Linked DNA regions of Notamacropus eugenii. The protein of the gene in region 2 interacts with the protein of the main gene of each other region in a pairwise test. Links are inferred from orthologs where the notes say so. Each region holds a gene or a part of one and is shown on either strand. Other genes may lie near its edges.

Region 1 (7,844 bases), on a different chromosome or scaffold from region 2:
TAACCTTATGAAATACAGAAATTGAAAAAAACAATGCAAAAAGCAGCAACTCATAATCCTTTTTTTCTTCTTTTAACAGATCATTCCTCATTTTCTTAAGACAAAATCTTTAGGCACACTAAAGAAATAGCATTGGCCCTAAAACCTATAAATCTAAAATTTGGAGATATTTCCATTATGATAACATTCAGGGAGTATATGACTCAGCACAGGGTAATGGGGGGTGGAGGGAAGGGTTTCAGGGAGGGGAGAAAAGGAAGATTGACACAAAGATGTTCAATCTTACCCTCTCCAAATCTAGCTTTCCAGAATCATCACCAGAACCAATAATGAATATCATACCTGTACTCCTACTATGTCCCCTGCTAGATGAGGCAAAAGGCCAGCCCTAGACAAAGTTGTAAGCATGATCACCCTGTTTACATCCCTTTCCTTATCTCCCTCATACCACTAGGTTTTTAAAGGCCACTTGCTACCCAAAGCCCTCTCCTCAGTGTCTCAATCTTCCCAAATTAATCCCCTGATCCACAAAAACTCTTGTAGTTCAGAAGAAAATAAGCTCAACTAATCAAAGTGGTAAAGACTGACAGCCTTTACAAGAACATTCACAAAAAGAATTTTATTTCTTTATTCAACCCAAATGAATCTCTGATTAGAAGAAATGCCAAAATTCTGTCAAAGTGAGGTAACAATTTCTAATTGAGGGGCAGATTTTTTTGAGGGAGTGTGGGAAAGGGTGGAGGGAACCGTTCTAGGTTCCACTCTCCCACCAAGAACTTGATCTCCCACTTTCTGAATAGTGGACTAGCCCAGAATTAGACTTATTCTCCCCTATGCAGTGTATAAATTAAATGAAACAATGGCAAGATAGTGAAAGCAAAGGTACAGGAAAAAACAGACCATATAAACACAATCTTTCAGGAAATTAACTCCCATATCAACTTAAGTGGTTCAAGCCATGTGTTGAAAAATAATCCATCAATTTTATACACATTTTGAGGACCTTATGAGTACAGAATATAAGTCTGACTTTTAAAAAAAACAAATCCAGATAAAATTTATGATTTGCTCTTCCTTTTTTTTTTAAAAGGAAAACAAAATCACTTCCCCAAACATCAATCTATTTTCCAATAAGAACCTACGTTCCATTAAGTGCTAAAGCTAATAACTAAATATGCTAACATTGTCTGTTGGAGTAGTTAGTCAAAGGCATCATACTTCAGCATCATTAAAAAAATATTGTAAAATAATTACATTCTCTTCTCACATTGTCAAATAAAGGCATTCAACATATTTTATGTCAGAATTGTTTTTTCTTTAATCAAAGAAACTAGAATCTAACGCATGTAAACATATTTGTCCGCCCCCCCCCAAAATAAATTTGCTTTAAAAGACTTAGAAGAACGAACTAAATAAAACAATAGCCAAAAACTCACCTACTTTATGTGGGAACAAAAGAAATACAAAATTTTAAAAATGTATTTCAGGGGAAAAAACTTGATCTAGATAATTACACTTACTCTTTTAATAGACTACAACGTTATCTAGGGGCAACTGGTGGTCCAGTGAAGAGAGAACAGGGTCAGGCATCTAGAAGACCTGATTTGACCTCAGACGCTTATTAGCTGTATGACCCTGGACACATCACAATTTCAGTTTACTTCAGTTTCTTCAACGGTAATATGAGGTTTGATAGCACCTATCTCCCAGAGTTATAAGGATCAAATGAGTTAACACTTGTAAAGCATTTCCCTGGGAAACCTTAAACAGATAACCTTATCAAGCACATTCACCTTGGAAAATCCAGTGGCATTCTTCAATAACAGAGGTGCCCGACTTCAAAGAACATCCAAAACCCCCATGGATGTTCTTACAGTGAACTCCTCATATTTGAGATTAGAGTTCTGATTAGAGTTGTCTGACATTGTTTGCTCGGGGCTTTTGCACGTCTGTTAACATTGTAATAGAGATGTCGGTCATTTTAGAAAACATTTTATAGTGTGTTAAATATTTTAAAGTACAGAACTACCATTAGTGCAAAATTCCAGGGCGTTGTATTTGAAGCTACTTCAATGCAGAGTGAGATTCCAGCCCGTTTGTAAGGGTTAAAATGGAAAGATCGAAATCCTTAAAAATCAGTCTCCCTTCCGGGAGAGAGAGAGAGAGTGTGTGTGTCTGTGTCTTCTGTGTGTTACAAAGTAACACAGCAAGCAGCTGGGACAGTTCTGTTTTCAAGGAACTTCAAAAGGCAACAAGAAAAGAAACACAAAACAACTCTTTGTTACCTCTCTATGGAAGTCACCTAAGAAGTTACCATGCCCGATACTGTAACAAAGAACAACTTCTCAGAAAATACTCAATAAGCGTTTTCAAGGGCGCAGTCAGCACATTTTATGCAACTACTCCAAGTTTCTCTCCGGCCCAACAAAAGCTTAACTTAAAGAAAAAACAACCAGAAAAGAAGAGACAGATGCCAAAGTGCCAGCGGAGAAGCCCCGCGTGCGGGCACGGGGCGCTCTCCGCAGGAGCGGGTTCAGCGCTCTTCAGGGGCCCGCCCGGAACACCCTGGGTCTCCCCCCGCACCCCCCGCACAAGGGTTTGGGGGGTTTTGTTCTTTTTAAAGCACCCCGCAGCTGTCAGCTCCACCCAAAGGATCGAGCCGTACGTGACGGCGGGGCCCGGCTCTCCGGGTCGCGCGGCTCCCCGCCCGGGGCCGTCAGAGGCGGCTTCCTCGGGGCCCCCTCCGCAGCTCCCCAGCTCCCCAGCTCCCCAGCCCCCCAGCCCCCTGCCCAGAGGCCGGCCCAGTGCGCGGCCCCGCGCCCCGCGCGCGCTCACGACAGGGAAGGGGGCGGCGGCCTCTTCCCCGGAGTCAGGCCCAGCGGGAGCGGCGAGACAGCGCCCCAGGGCCGGGCAGCGGAGGGCGCAGGGCGAGGCCTCCGAAGCTGGCCGGACGCGGGCTGGGCAGTGAGAAACCACTCACCGGCGGCTCATGGTCCAGCGGCGCCTCCCCAGCTAGGCCCCGACAGCCTAGAGCGCCTCCGCGGTCCCCACAGTGCGGCCCCCAGGCAGCGCCATTCAAAAGCCGCCGCGCGGCCAGCCGGGATAGCACCTCGGCCCCGCCCCTCGGACGGAGGAGGGGGAGGAGCCCGCATGTCAAGGGCTCCAGCGCCCCACTTTCCGCTATATCGCCCCCTGGTGGCAATATCTGCGCGCGGCAGGCGCTTTGTCCCTATGGCTCTTTCCTAGGGCTGGAACCCTGGACCCATAGTGTTCAATTCAATAAACGTTTTTAAGCGCCTGCTTTGTACCTGGCCCTGTGGTATAAGCGCTGGGATAAAAAGAGGCAAAAACCAGTTCCTCATCCCTAAATTCCCTGTTGCAACCTTCTGATCTCCACACCACCATGAGGATAATGCACCAGAACAGAACTCTCCTTTTCATGCTCCAGTTATATAGATCACCAACTTAGAGCCGGACGGGACCGTAACATCTCTCTAGTCCAAACACCTCATCTTACAGGTAAGGAAATGGGGACTGAGAGGTTCAGTGACGTCTTCAGGAGTGGGGTTTGAACCCAAGGATGACTCTTTAAGGGGATGACTCTTAAGTGGAACTGTCCACCAACAAGATCCTGAAGTAAGCAGACATTCTCCTGGAGGTTCCTTCAACCAAGAGAACTTACCAAAAAATTCACAGTATTTTAGTTCTAAAAGGGAGCGTGGAGACCATCTGATCCACTTTATAACTGAGGGAATTGAGGTCCGATAAGATAAAGTGACTTACTTAAGTTCCAGAAAAGTGTAAATGAACTATCAGGGGAAATATTTTGGGGTAAGTTGAACTTTCCTAAAGTCCCTCAAATCAAACCAGTTAACCATTCAGCCTACAACTAGGACCACCTTTGCTTTCAAGAGGAGGCAATATCCATGGGGAACAGATGAGTGGAGAGTATAGGGATGTAGACTTGGTTAATAGCTTCCTGTCCTCATCATGTGGGTGACTTTTGACAATTGATTCTAAGACGGGGAGGGAGTGGTAAAAAATCTAAGATATATGGAAGTCATTGTCAAACACTGAAAACAAATAAAATAATTCAATTAAAAAATAAAATAAAATTGGATAAAATTGTCTTAAAAAAAGAAACAAATAAAAAAGACAATTGATTCCAAGTATAACTCAGTATAAGAAAATGACCTCAAGTGAGAATGCAACTTCTCCTCCCCCCACAAAAAAAAAAAAAAGACATTAAACTCTGCACTAACTCATAGCTGGGAGAGACTTTTAAATTCCTGTGTTTATATCCTCTAGTCTAGTACTTTTCACATAGTTGGAACTTAATAAATGCTTGTTTAATTGAATCAAATTGAATTGAAATTGGGAGGACTAGATAGATAGAAGAGGAAGATGGGTTTGGTTTTGGACAACAATTAATCAAAAAGTATCTATTAAGAACCTACTATGTGGTAGACATTGTGGCATACCCTATATCCAAAGATAAAAATGAAAGTCTCTGAGCTTATGGAATCTATGTTCTTTTGGGAGGACAGGCAACCTCTACACATATAAACACATACAAAATAAACACCAGATAATTATGGGGGAGAAGTACTAGCAACTGCGGGGGTCAAGTAGGTCCTTATCTTGAAAGTAGTGTTTAAGCTGAAGTCTGAAGAAAATTAGAGATTTTAAAAGGCAGAGGCGAGGAGATGGTACATTCCAGGCATGGGTGACAGCTTGTACAGAAGCACAGACATAGGAAATAGAATGCCACATGTAAGGAAAAACAAGAAGACCATTTTGTCTGGACTGTAGGGTATGTGAAGATCAGATTGAGGCCAGGTTGTGAGCAGCTTTAAATGATAAGCAGAAGAGTTTGTATTTGATCCTAAAGGCAAGAGGGAGCCCACTGGAGTTTACTGAGTAGGAGAGAGACATAGATCAGTGTTTTATGAAAAATACTGTAACATCTGTGTGAAGGATAATGGATTAGAGAGAAGTGAGGAAGAGGGGTGGAGAGAGAGAGAGAGAGAGAGAGAGAGAGAGAGAGAGAGAGAGAGAGAGAGAGAGAGAGAGAGAAAGAGAGAGAGAGAGAGAGAGAGAGTAGAGAGAAAAAATCAATTGGGACCTAGTCCAGGCAAGAGGAGATGACAGCATTGTGGTGGTGACTGTATGAGTGAAGGGGACATACGTGATAAATGCCGTGAAGACAGCCCATAAAACATGACATTTGGGCATGTGAGATGGGGAAAAAAAGAGTTAGTGATGACATAGAAATTATGAACCTAGGCAGTTTCCATAGAAATAGGGAAATTCTGAAAAGAAGTAAATGGAGGAGGGAAGAAAAGATAAGTTTTGTTTTAGACATGAGTTTGAGATCCTACAGAACAACTATAGGACATATTGTGTTTGAATGTGATATAATGACATAAAAATTCAAAGAAGACAGATGAAAATGTAGGTTGTGAGCTTGAAAAAGCTGTCACGCAAGGAAATTATTTTTGGAAGTCATGTCCTAAAATAGTGAACAATAAAGAAATGGGAGTGGGTAAAAGAAAGTTCATAGGAAAAAGCACTAAGAAGGAAAACAAGGGGAATGCCAACACTTAAGAGGGCAGAAAGAAGAAAAGGGACAAGCTACAGTGGCTGAGAAGGATTAACTAGAGAAAAAGGAGTCAGAAAACTAAGGAAGGAGACATAGTCAGCAAGCCTGAAATTGGCATCAAGGTCAAGGAGAATGAGGAAAGAAACAGGTTATTTAATTTGGTGATTAGGTGACCTTGGAAAGAACAGTTTCTTTAGAGTGGTGAGGTTGGAAGCCAGAATGAAGGGGATTAAGGAGAAAGCCTGATTAAAAAACATGATTTCATCTTGATAGTGTTCTAGTGTTCATGCCTTTTAAGTCATAGATATTTATATTTTATCAAGTTTTAAAATAGTCATCCATGAAAATCTGTTAGACCAACATTCAGCTACTTACCATCTGGTACCTCAATCATAAAGTGCTGTATAGCCCTGGCTATGAAAAACCAAAAACAAACAAAAACAAATCCTGATTCCTTAGAAGGAACTGGCTCTGATATCAAAGTAATTAGTAAAGGGTATGTATGAATTTTGGAGAAACTGCTCAAGAAATTTTTCCAATCTCTCTTAATTTGGGGCAGATTTGCTCTTGCAACAGCTAAAGTGTATGTTACCTCTAAGGCTTTCCTAAAGTACACTGGCAATAAATGAGGCTTGTACCTCTTTGTCCCTGAGGAAAGCTGGAAGTTGTGGGTATATCTTGAAGCCTTCGAGAATGTGGTGGATATGGAGAGTTCACTCAAACAGGATTTTCATCCCTCTTGAGCTCAGAAAGGCACACAAAGGTGCCTGTTAAATTCCTAACCATCCTTTAAAGCCTGGTCCAAGTGAGAAATCAGCAAAGATAGCAAAACAGGAGGAAGCTGTGCTCCCCAGCTCTCTCCTAAAGCTATTCCAACAAAGGTCTATGAATAGTGCCATCAGCAACTCTAAACAGAAAACAGAGTAAGCCTTTTTCCAGCTCAGTTCATAATAAGGAGACAGAGATCCCTGAGCATTGCTGATGAGGTCTAGACAGGAAGGTGCCATGCAGAACCTTCTAGCCAAAGGACTAAACATAAAGCTTAAACTGGTAGTCTACTAGAGCAAGAAGCAGTTGGGTTAAGGCAGAAACTGCTCTGAAATAGGAGATCTCAAAGCTCAGAGCAGGAGGGCAGTATATAGACTTTACCCTAGATTAAACTGTTTGAGGTACACTAGAAAAAATAAGTATACATAAAAAGTCTCCCAGGATGAAGAGCTGTGATGGAAATAAGATCTCCAAAGACACAAACCCAGAAGAAAAAAATGATTCCAAAATATGTACATGCAAAGCCTCCAAAAGAAACAGCTTAGACACAAGGTCAGTTAGAATTCCTGGAATAAGTGAAGAAAGAAGGTTTTAAGTTTCAATGATTTTATAAACGAAATGAGACTACTTGAGGAAAGAATTAGAAAATAAATGAAAGCTTCAGAGGAAAGAATTAAAAACAGTATAAGAGGTTAAAAAACAAACAAATAAACCTTGTCCAAGTAATAGACTCCTTATACTGAGGCAGCATAGTCAGGATCACACAAGATTTAGCAGCTATTACAGTACAGAACTGGAAAGATTAGAATATGAAAGACAAAGACTTGGCAATTAATTCAGAGTTCACTGTTAACTTTGAAGGGAGCAGTTTCAGTTGAGTGATAAGACGAGAAGCCATATTGAAAGAGATTAAGGAGTGAGTGAGAAGAGAGAAAGTAGAGGAAGTAACAGCAGATAGTTGTTTCAAAGAGTTTGATTAAGAAAGAGAGGAGAGTTATAGGATGATAACTTGAGGAAAAGGTAGGATCTAGTTAAGTGGGTGCGTTGTTTTTTTTGAAATGGAAGAGATTTGTGCATATTTGAAGGCAGTAGAGAAGGAACCAGTTGATAGGAAGAAGATTCTATGGAGAGGGGGAATGATTAAAAATGCAATCTACTAAGAAAACAGGGTGGGATGAGATGAAGTGCAAAGAGTCCCTGCCCTTAAGGAACTTATATTCTGAGAGGCCAAAGTTTACTTGAATTGGATCAAATTGAATCAAAGTCATTCCTCTGGGTGTCTAATACATGGACCAAATAGCGCTGGGAGAGACCGAAAACAATAAAAAGAGGATATGGAACCCTTCACTTTTTAAGAAACTGGTACGTTGACAAGTTACTTAACTTTTATTTGATTTACACAACTCTCCAATGCCTGCTAAATCTGCAACTATATGTACTAGTAGAGTATATGCATATATTATCTCATTTGATA
Region 2 (8,063 bases):
ATGAAGTACACTTTGTCTACCACAGCACCCAACACAGCTCTCCAATTAGTCAGAACTCAATAAATATTTGTTGAATGAATATCTAAACTAAAATTGAAACACAGAAGAGAGTATCACATTTGCAGCACCTTGTCTTACCCAGAAACTTCTTGGATTTTTCCTATATTTTAAATTCATTTTTCAACCACAGAAAAACACAGCTGATGTAAAGTATGAAGGCAGCTGTGGTACAATGGTTAGAGCTCTGGGCATGGAATCAGGAAGACCTGAGTTCAGATCTGGCCCCAGAGACTTACTAGCTGCATATCCCTGTTTGCCTCAGTTTACTCATCTGTTACATGGGGTTAATAATGGCACTTACCATCCAGGGTTGTGAGGATCACATGAGATCATATTTGTAAAAAACATATAACACTGTGCCTGACACATAGTTTTTTGTTGTTTGACTGGGTCCATCCAATTCTTTATGACACCATTTGGGGTTTTCTTGGCAAAGAGACTGGAGTGTTTTGTCATTTCCATCTTCACTTCATTTTGCAAATAAGGAAACTGAGGCAAACAGACTTGAGTGACTTACCTAGGTCACCCAGCAAGTAAGTGTAAGAGGTCAGATTTGGATTTAAGAAGATGAATCTTCCTGACTCCAGGCCTGGTGCTTTATCCACTGCACTACCTATGCGCCTCTGATCAAAATAATACTAGGGGCTATATAAATTATTATTAGCAGGGAATATATAAGTGATTATTCCCTTCTCTGTCCCTCCGCTAACATTCAACTTTCCCACTAAAGAAAACCAAGACTGTTTTTACATAACATTTAATCCCTTCTCATCTAATGGAAAGAGTGGAAAATGTTAAGATGAATTTTACTTTTTCGAGGGACATTAATATTTGCAATCTTTTCTGAGAACTAGCCGGTAATAAGGATACTTGCTGAAATGTTTCTTCAGAAAGGAAAGCAAAGCCACTAAAAGTAAACTGAAATCTTCAAACAGACCTCTAACACTGCCGTGACACAATCTAGAGATAACAGCATTGCTTAAACCAGGACAACAAATCTCCCCCCTTTCCTCATTCACCTGGCAGGCCTAATGAGGTTTTATGATGGGCCATGCTATCTGTCCCTTAAGTCACGTTGGCAAGAATCATGACCACATCTGTCTTTGGGCTTGGGCTTTCAGCTCTGCCATGCCTTCCCCACAAAAGTCTGCTCTAGTCCAGATAAGTTAACATTTACAACAACCACATAAACATTCCTCTAGTCTAACCACAAAGAGATAATCCCCTTTCTCTTCTCAGTCTCCAGTTTCTCAAGTGTCTCTCCCTTATCTTTTGTTTGCATCTGGGAGCTCTGTCCAAGAGATGCATTACCAGACTAGTTGGGACCAAACAACGGAACAATTAAAGGGCAAAGGAGATTTAAAAACAAAAACCAGCACCCTCTACATTTATATAGCCCTTAAAGGTTTACAAAGAGAAAAGGACAAATTTCAGGGATGATTTGAAAAGAGACAGCAAGCAGATCAGCCCACTGCCTGGAACTTCAAAAGTGCTCAACAAAGCCATTAGGAAACTATTTCTGATAGAAGTTGCTGCAGGGCCAAGAGTAGTCCCAACACAGACAGCCATGGCCATAACTAGGACAGAATTACCGAGGTATTGTCCAAGGACACATTTACAGTAGGGAACCTCTGGCGCATCTCCCTGAACTGAGCCTTCTCTATTCAAGCCCCTAAGGTCCTAGGCCACACACAGCCCTGCTCATCCCCTCGACTTTCCTCTAGCCCAAAGCTTTCCCACAGTCCCACTGAACTTTCCATAACTTGGCCCTACTCTTCTCCTGCCTTCCATGGTCCTGTCCCGCTGATATCCTGAAGTCTCTGTCTCTCCCCCAGGGCATGATGTTTCCAAGATTTCTCTCCTGCTGCAGAATCTTGTGTCACGAGATATGTCCCATGGCTCTTCCCGTTTGTGATCCTCCTGAAGTGAATTTCCTACAGGTGTCAGAATTCCTCATTTCAGTTCCACAAATAAGAATGGGACAATAAAAAGAATATGAATGCAACCAAAAGCCAGTCTGGAACCATGGTCCATAGGGTGACTGATGGGAATTTTTACAATCCTGCAGAAGGTAGGTGGTCGGACCATCAACAACCTTGTTGTCTGTGATATGAGATGATGTTGTGGAGATACAGCTAGGTCTGGAGCTTCTGACTGTGTGCAATAAGAAGAAAGAATGCACAACTCCAAAGCAGGAAGGAGAGAGACTTGGATAACAGGCAGCTAGGGAGCCTAGGAGAAAGAGCCTGGAGTCAAGAAGACCAGAGTTCAAATCTGACCTCTGACACTTAGTAGCTGTATGACCCTGAGCAAGTCCTTTGGCCTTCCCTTTTGTTTCCCCACCTACCTTGCCAATGTTATATAAGATTGTTCTTTTTAATAAAGTATATAAAACAAGTAGCATAAGAAGGGAAGCCATCAACTGTAAAAAAAAAAAAAAAGGCAAAAAAACTTTACATCTATCTGCCTCAGTTTTTTATATCATAAAATGGGCTTAATAACAGCATCTACCTGACTAGATTGCTGCAAGAATGAGATTGAGATGTTCTTTGTAATGTGTTTAGCACAGTTCTGGGTACTGTGTAAGGGCTGTGGGAGGACTCTGCTGTGGGGACTTGCTGGTCACTTTTTAGCACTGCTCATTCACCTTTGGTGTCCGCCTTTCCCCCAATGGCTTTTGTTTGGATCCAGAAGCTCTGTCCAAGAGATGCGTTACCAGACCAGTAGGCACCAAAAATGGAACAATTAAAAGGCAAGAGAGATTAAAAATGAAAAACACAATAAAACAAAAAACAGTACACCTGTAGCTCCAAGAAGCTGTAGCATAGGCAGTGGTCACACCCTGGTAAAACTATCTAGGCAAAAGCGCTAAACTTACCGGCCTCAAACCCATCAGTGAGGTAGGGGGAGATCTGCTCCAAGCATGTAAAGACTTCCCCTGGTAGAACGGCAGATGAGAACAATTTGTTCCAAGGGCCATGAAGGTGGCTAAAGCAGTCATTGTAGAGCACCTAGAGCTTGGTCAGACCTCAAAGTCCCCAAGATCATCCACTGCATCCCAGGTCATTGCCAGTCATCCTGACTTTTGTCTTGCCTCTGGACTTTGATGACTCTGGAAGAGAGAGTGAGGCTGGTGACTTTTTGCAGTTCTGCTTCACTTAAGTCCAGTTCATGGAAAAGTTGAGACATCATCCGTGATGTCTTGGGTCCTCTTCAAAAACAAAAGACAAGCAATAACAAATAAGGACTATATACATATTTATTCCCTTCTCTTCCCAATAGTCCATCCTGAAGGTACAAAGAACAAACAAATTTTAAAAATAGACTAGAACACATATATGGAGTTCAACATGCTGAAGTGAAGCAACTTGGTTTATAGAGTCCCGGTCCTCAGACTAACTAATTTCCTCATCTATAAATTAAGAGAACTAGATAATCTCTAAGGTCTCCACCTATGTGATTCTGTGATTCTAACTGTGATCTAAAATTAGAAGGCTAAGCAAATTCCAAAATGGAATGGGAATTGGGGCGGAGGAGGGAAAATAAAAGGGTGGCAAGACAGGAGGGTTAGTAAATAGCAAGAAAAGTCAGATATGAAACAATTGGAAAGTATATAAAGAAGGCATGGGGGAAAGGTGAAATAGAAGATAGTAGAAAATATAGCCAAGAGGCATGGGATTGTGATGTGGACAGTTTTAGATAGAGAGATGTGAGAGAAGTATCATCCATGACCTCAATGTTAATAAATGGGAAATTGGATGCGTGGCCTCAAATTGTGTTAAATGAATTCCTCTAGTTCAAGGGAAGCTTTCACAAAGAGATGCACCTTAAAATCCTTCAAAAGTTGATAACTAAAAACAAAATATAATAAACTCTCATGAATTCTAGCTATACTGATTCAGGAGTCTGGAGTTATCCAGACATGGTTTGTTAAGAATTGTAAAAGTGCATTTATATGGTGCTTTACAATTTACAAAATGCTTAATCTGTATAAACTCATTCGATCTTCACACTGATATAGTCAAACACAAGCATAAGTGTTCTTATGCTCCTCTCAGAGAAAAAAATCAGAGACTTGGAGAAGGGATTGGCTTGCCCAGATTTACAGAGCTGGTCATTGACAGCAACATCATGGAAGCAGTGTAGTACTGTGGGAAGAAGGCCAACTCTAGAATCTGAGGGCCTGGGTTCAAATCTCACCCCTGACACTACCAAGTGTGACCTCAGCCAAGTCACTGAGCTTCCTTTGTTTCCTTATCTGTAAAGTAAGGAGGGAAGAGGGGAGAGGTGGATGATGAATCATCTATCACTCATCCCTAAAGTCCTTTCCACTTCTAGATCTATTACCCCAGAATCTTGTGAACAAAGACATGAATTTAGGCACTCTGTCTCCAAATCCAGTCCTAGCCATACTAGGCACTTCTCTATAGGTAATTTTCAATCAATAATTCAATAAACATTTATTAAGCGCCTACTATGTTCCAGGCAGAGTTAAGTGCTAGGGGTACAAAAAGAGGCAAAAGGCAGTCTTTGCCCTCAAGGAATAGAAATAGACATTTCAATGGAATTTAGAATAGAAATAAAAAATTTCAATAGAAATCACTTTCACCCGTTCAATTTTACAGTGATAACCTTAGGTTCCAATTCATTTATGTCTCCTTGGGCTTACAAACTGTTACCTCTTCTTACCTCCTGAGATTTTCTAACCTCTCATCCCTTATCGGAAGACTGAAGGATTTTTCTTCACCTCATTTCTCCCTCTGTTCCTGATTAGGACCCCAACTTCTTAAGCAGTCAAAAGGAATTTGCTAAGATGCCTTAGAAGGAGACGTACAATTGGGTGACTGTGTGTGTTCCATTGAGGAGGGAAGAGAAGGGACAGTAAAAGCACAAGGGTTGATAAAGGTTCTTAAACTAAGTGACAGCCACTCTTTCACCAGCTGTGGGATGCTTTCCCTTCTACTTAGCTCCTCCCTGACACTGAATTTATCTTCTCAATTTGGACTTTGATTTTCACTTAGATCTAGTTCCATGGCCTTGCTCTTGACTGTTCAGAGTTGTATTTCACAGCCTTTGGAGGCAAGCCTCTTCAGCTTTCTCCCTAGTGGCACAGAGTTGATGGAATTGGACAAAATTCTATACACACTGTGAGTCAAGGTTCCTCTATCAGATGATTCTGCTTAATTATTTTCAGTTTTCATAAGGGAGGTTTAGATCTAAGAGTGAACGGGAGAAATGACTGCATTAAAGGACAAAAATGAATTTTCTTCAGAAAACTGCTGCTTTGGTTCTTGCAGATTTATATAAATAGACATAAATACACCCCACCCACTCAGCTCAGTCCACTTGGGTCAGGTCAACATCAACCCACTTCATGAAATATGGTGTTCATTTCCCTTCCTGTTTTGCAAAGATGGAGATCATAGACATGGATAGCACACACTATCAGACACAACTGATGTGCAGAATGATTTTTCTGAACTGTTTTTTTCTCTTTTAGAATCTTTGTTATAAGGGATGGCTTGCTAGTGTAAGGGGGAGAGATGTATTCTGAAATGGTAATATGAAAACAAAAGACATTGCCAAAAATAATGATTTTTAAAGGAAATGTCATACCCCAATTTGAACATCGTTCAAGTTAATTCAATAGATATGTACTAAATACCTACTACATCCAAGGCATTATGGATATAAAGGTAGTCAGTGGCATAGTACCTGCTTTTATAGAATTTACAATCTAATGGGGAAATATATGATTTACATAGGAAAGCAAGTGAAGTAGAAGACAGAGCAGCAGACCTGGGTTCAGGAGGACCAGAGTTCAAATCCAGGCTCAAATATTCACTTGCAGTGTGAGCCAGGGCAAGTCACTTAACCCTGTTTACCTCAGTTTCCTCATCTGTAAAATGAGCTGGAAAAGGAAATGGCAAACCACTCTCACATCTCTGTCAGAAAAAGAAACTCAAATGGGATCATGAAGAGTCAGTTATGACTGAAAGATGGCTGATCAACAACCAAAAACTTCTACCTTGCCGATCTAAATTATACCATGTGAGTTTACTTAATAGACAAAGATCGCCCAGTGATGAGCATCAAGCTCATAACAAAAGCAGCCTAGCTTCTGTGAACAAAGACATGAATTCAGGTGTTCCATCTCCAAGTCCAGTCCTAGCTATACTAGGTACTTCTCTATAGGTAATTTTCAATCAATTGTTCAATAAACATTTAATAAGCACCTGCTATATTCCAGACACTGAGCTAAGTGTTAAGGTTACAGAAAGAGGCAGAAGACAGTCCTTACCCTCAAGAAATAGAAATAGAAATTTCAATAGAATTTAGAATAGAAATAAAAAATTTCAATAGAAACTATTAACTGTAACTGCTGACTCATATTCAGTCTCCTAGGAATCCCAGGTTTTTTTTCATAGGACCTGCTATCTAATCACAGTTTTCTTCCCTCCCCCTTACCTGATCCCTACATCTTTTATTTGTACAATTGATTTTTTAATCGAAGTATAGGACTTTACATTTATTCTTATCAAATTTCATCTTCTTTACTTCATCTCGCTCTTCCAGTCTACTGAAATCCTTTTGGATCTCAATTTTTTTACCCATTATATTAGTAATCCCTCAAGTTTTATGTTATATTGAAGAGAAAAGGGCCAAGGACAGGACCTAAGATGCTCCATTGGACACCTCTCTTCAAGTTGACATGAATCAACTAATGAAAGCTCTCTGAATCCAGGTAACCCATTCTAAACCCCACAATTGTGCTGTTATCCAGTCCATATTTCTCCATTTTGTCCATATAGATATTGCAAAAGACTGTCAAACAGACTGTCAAAAGACTGGAAACAAGATATTTGTAAGGCATTTAACACAGTGCCTGGTACATAGCAGGTATGTATTAAATACTCGTTTCCTTCCCTCCTTCAAATGCCTGACTAAAATCCAGATAAACTCTCCATGTCTATAGCATTTCTCTGATCTAATATAGCAATCGTGTCAATAAAGGAAATCGAGTTAGGCTGGCATGACTCATCCCTAATAAACCTATGATTACTCTTAGTTATCACATCCTCCCTTTCAAAGTGCTCACAACATGTTCCTTTAATAATCTATTTCTGAATTTTACCAGGAACTGACATTAAGCTCATCAAACCTAAATGTTCCTACCTACTTTCTTTCCCCTTTTGAAAACTGGGACATTTACATCTCTTTCCAGTCCCATTAGCCATGTTCTTCAAAAAGCATGTACCTGAACATGAATGCCCTCTACAGGGCCCTTGAGTAATGATCACTCAGTCTCGGAAAATCTCCAGTGCTAAAGAACTCACTGCTTCCAGAAGCAATCCCATTCCACTTTTCGTTCAGTTCTTCAGTCATTTTTCAGTCAAGTCAGACTCTTTATGATTCCATTTGAGGTTTTCTTGCCAAAGATACTGGAGTAGTTTGCCATTTCCTTCTCTAGTTCATTTTACACATGAGGAAACTGAGGCAAATGTAACTTGCCCAGAGTCACACACCTAGTAAGTGTCTGAGCCCGGATTTGAACTGACAAAATGAGTCTTCCTGACTCCAGGCCCAGCGCTCCATCCACTAAAACACCTTTTGGATAGCTATAATTGCTGGGAACTTTTTTTTATGTATTTACCCATTATTCAGAAAAATAAATCTAATTCCTTACCCAAATCATAGCCTTTTAAAACTTAGAAAAAAATATCATGTCACCTCTCAAGTTTTCTCTTCTTCAGGGCAAACATCTCCACTTTCTAATAATAATAATAAATATTTATATAGTGCCTACTATGTGCCAAGCACTGTGCTAAGCACTTTACAAGTATTATCTCATTTGATCCTCACAACAACGCTGGGAAGTAGGTGCTATTGTTATCCCCATTTTACAGTTGAGAAAACTGAGGCAAAGGAGGTTAAGTGGCTTCCCCAGGGCTACACAGCTAGTGTGAGTCTGAAACCAGATTTGGATTCAGGCATTCTTGACA

What was found.
Region 1: the proteins of KATNAL1 (region 2) and KATNBL1 interact in binary tests that used the Homo sapiens proteins (3 or more experiments, as listed by UniProt). The two-hybrid records come from large-scale screens. The link is inferred for Notamacropus eugenii from reciprocal best matches to the Homo sapiens genes KATNAL1 and KATNBL1.

What each region holds. Positions count from the first base shown.
Region 1 is NC_092878.1:17,341,732-17,349,575, reverse strand, and holds the start of KATNBL1 (KATNB1-like protein 1), read right to left. Parts: upstream 3,101-7,844; 5' UTR 2,981-3,100; intron 1,861-2,980; exon of another isoform or gene 1,794-1,860; intron 1-1,793.
Region 2 is NC_092876.1:198,844,596-198,852,658, forward strand, and holds the start of KATNAL1 (katanin p60 ATPase-containing subunit A-like 1), read right to left. Parts: upstream 3,161-8,063; 5' UTR 2,939-3,160; intron 1-2,938. UniProt on the Homo sapiens protein: Regulates microtubule dynamics in Sertoli cells, a process that is essential for spermiogenesis and male fertility. Severs microtubules in an ATP-dependent manner, promoting rapid reorganization of cellular microtubule arrays.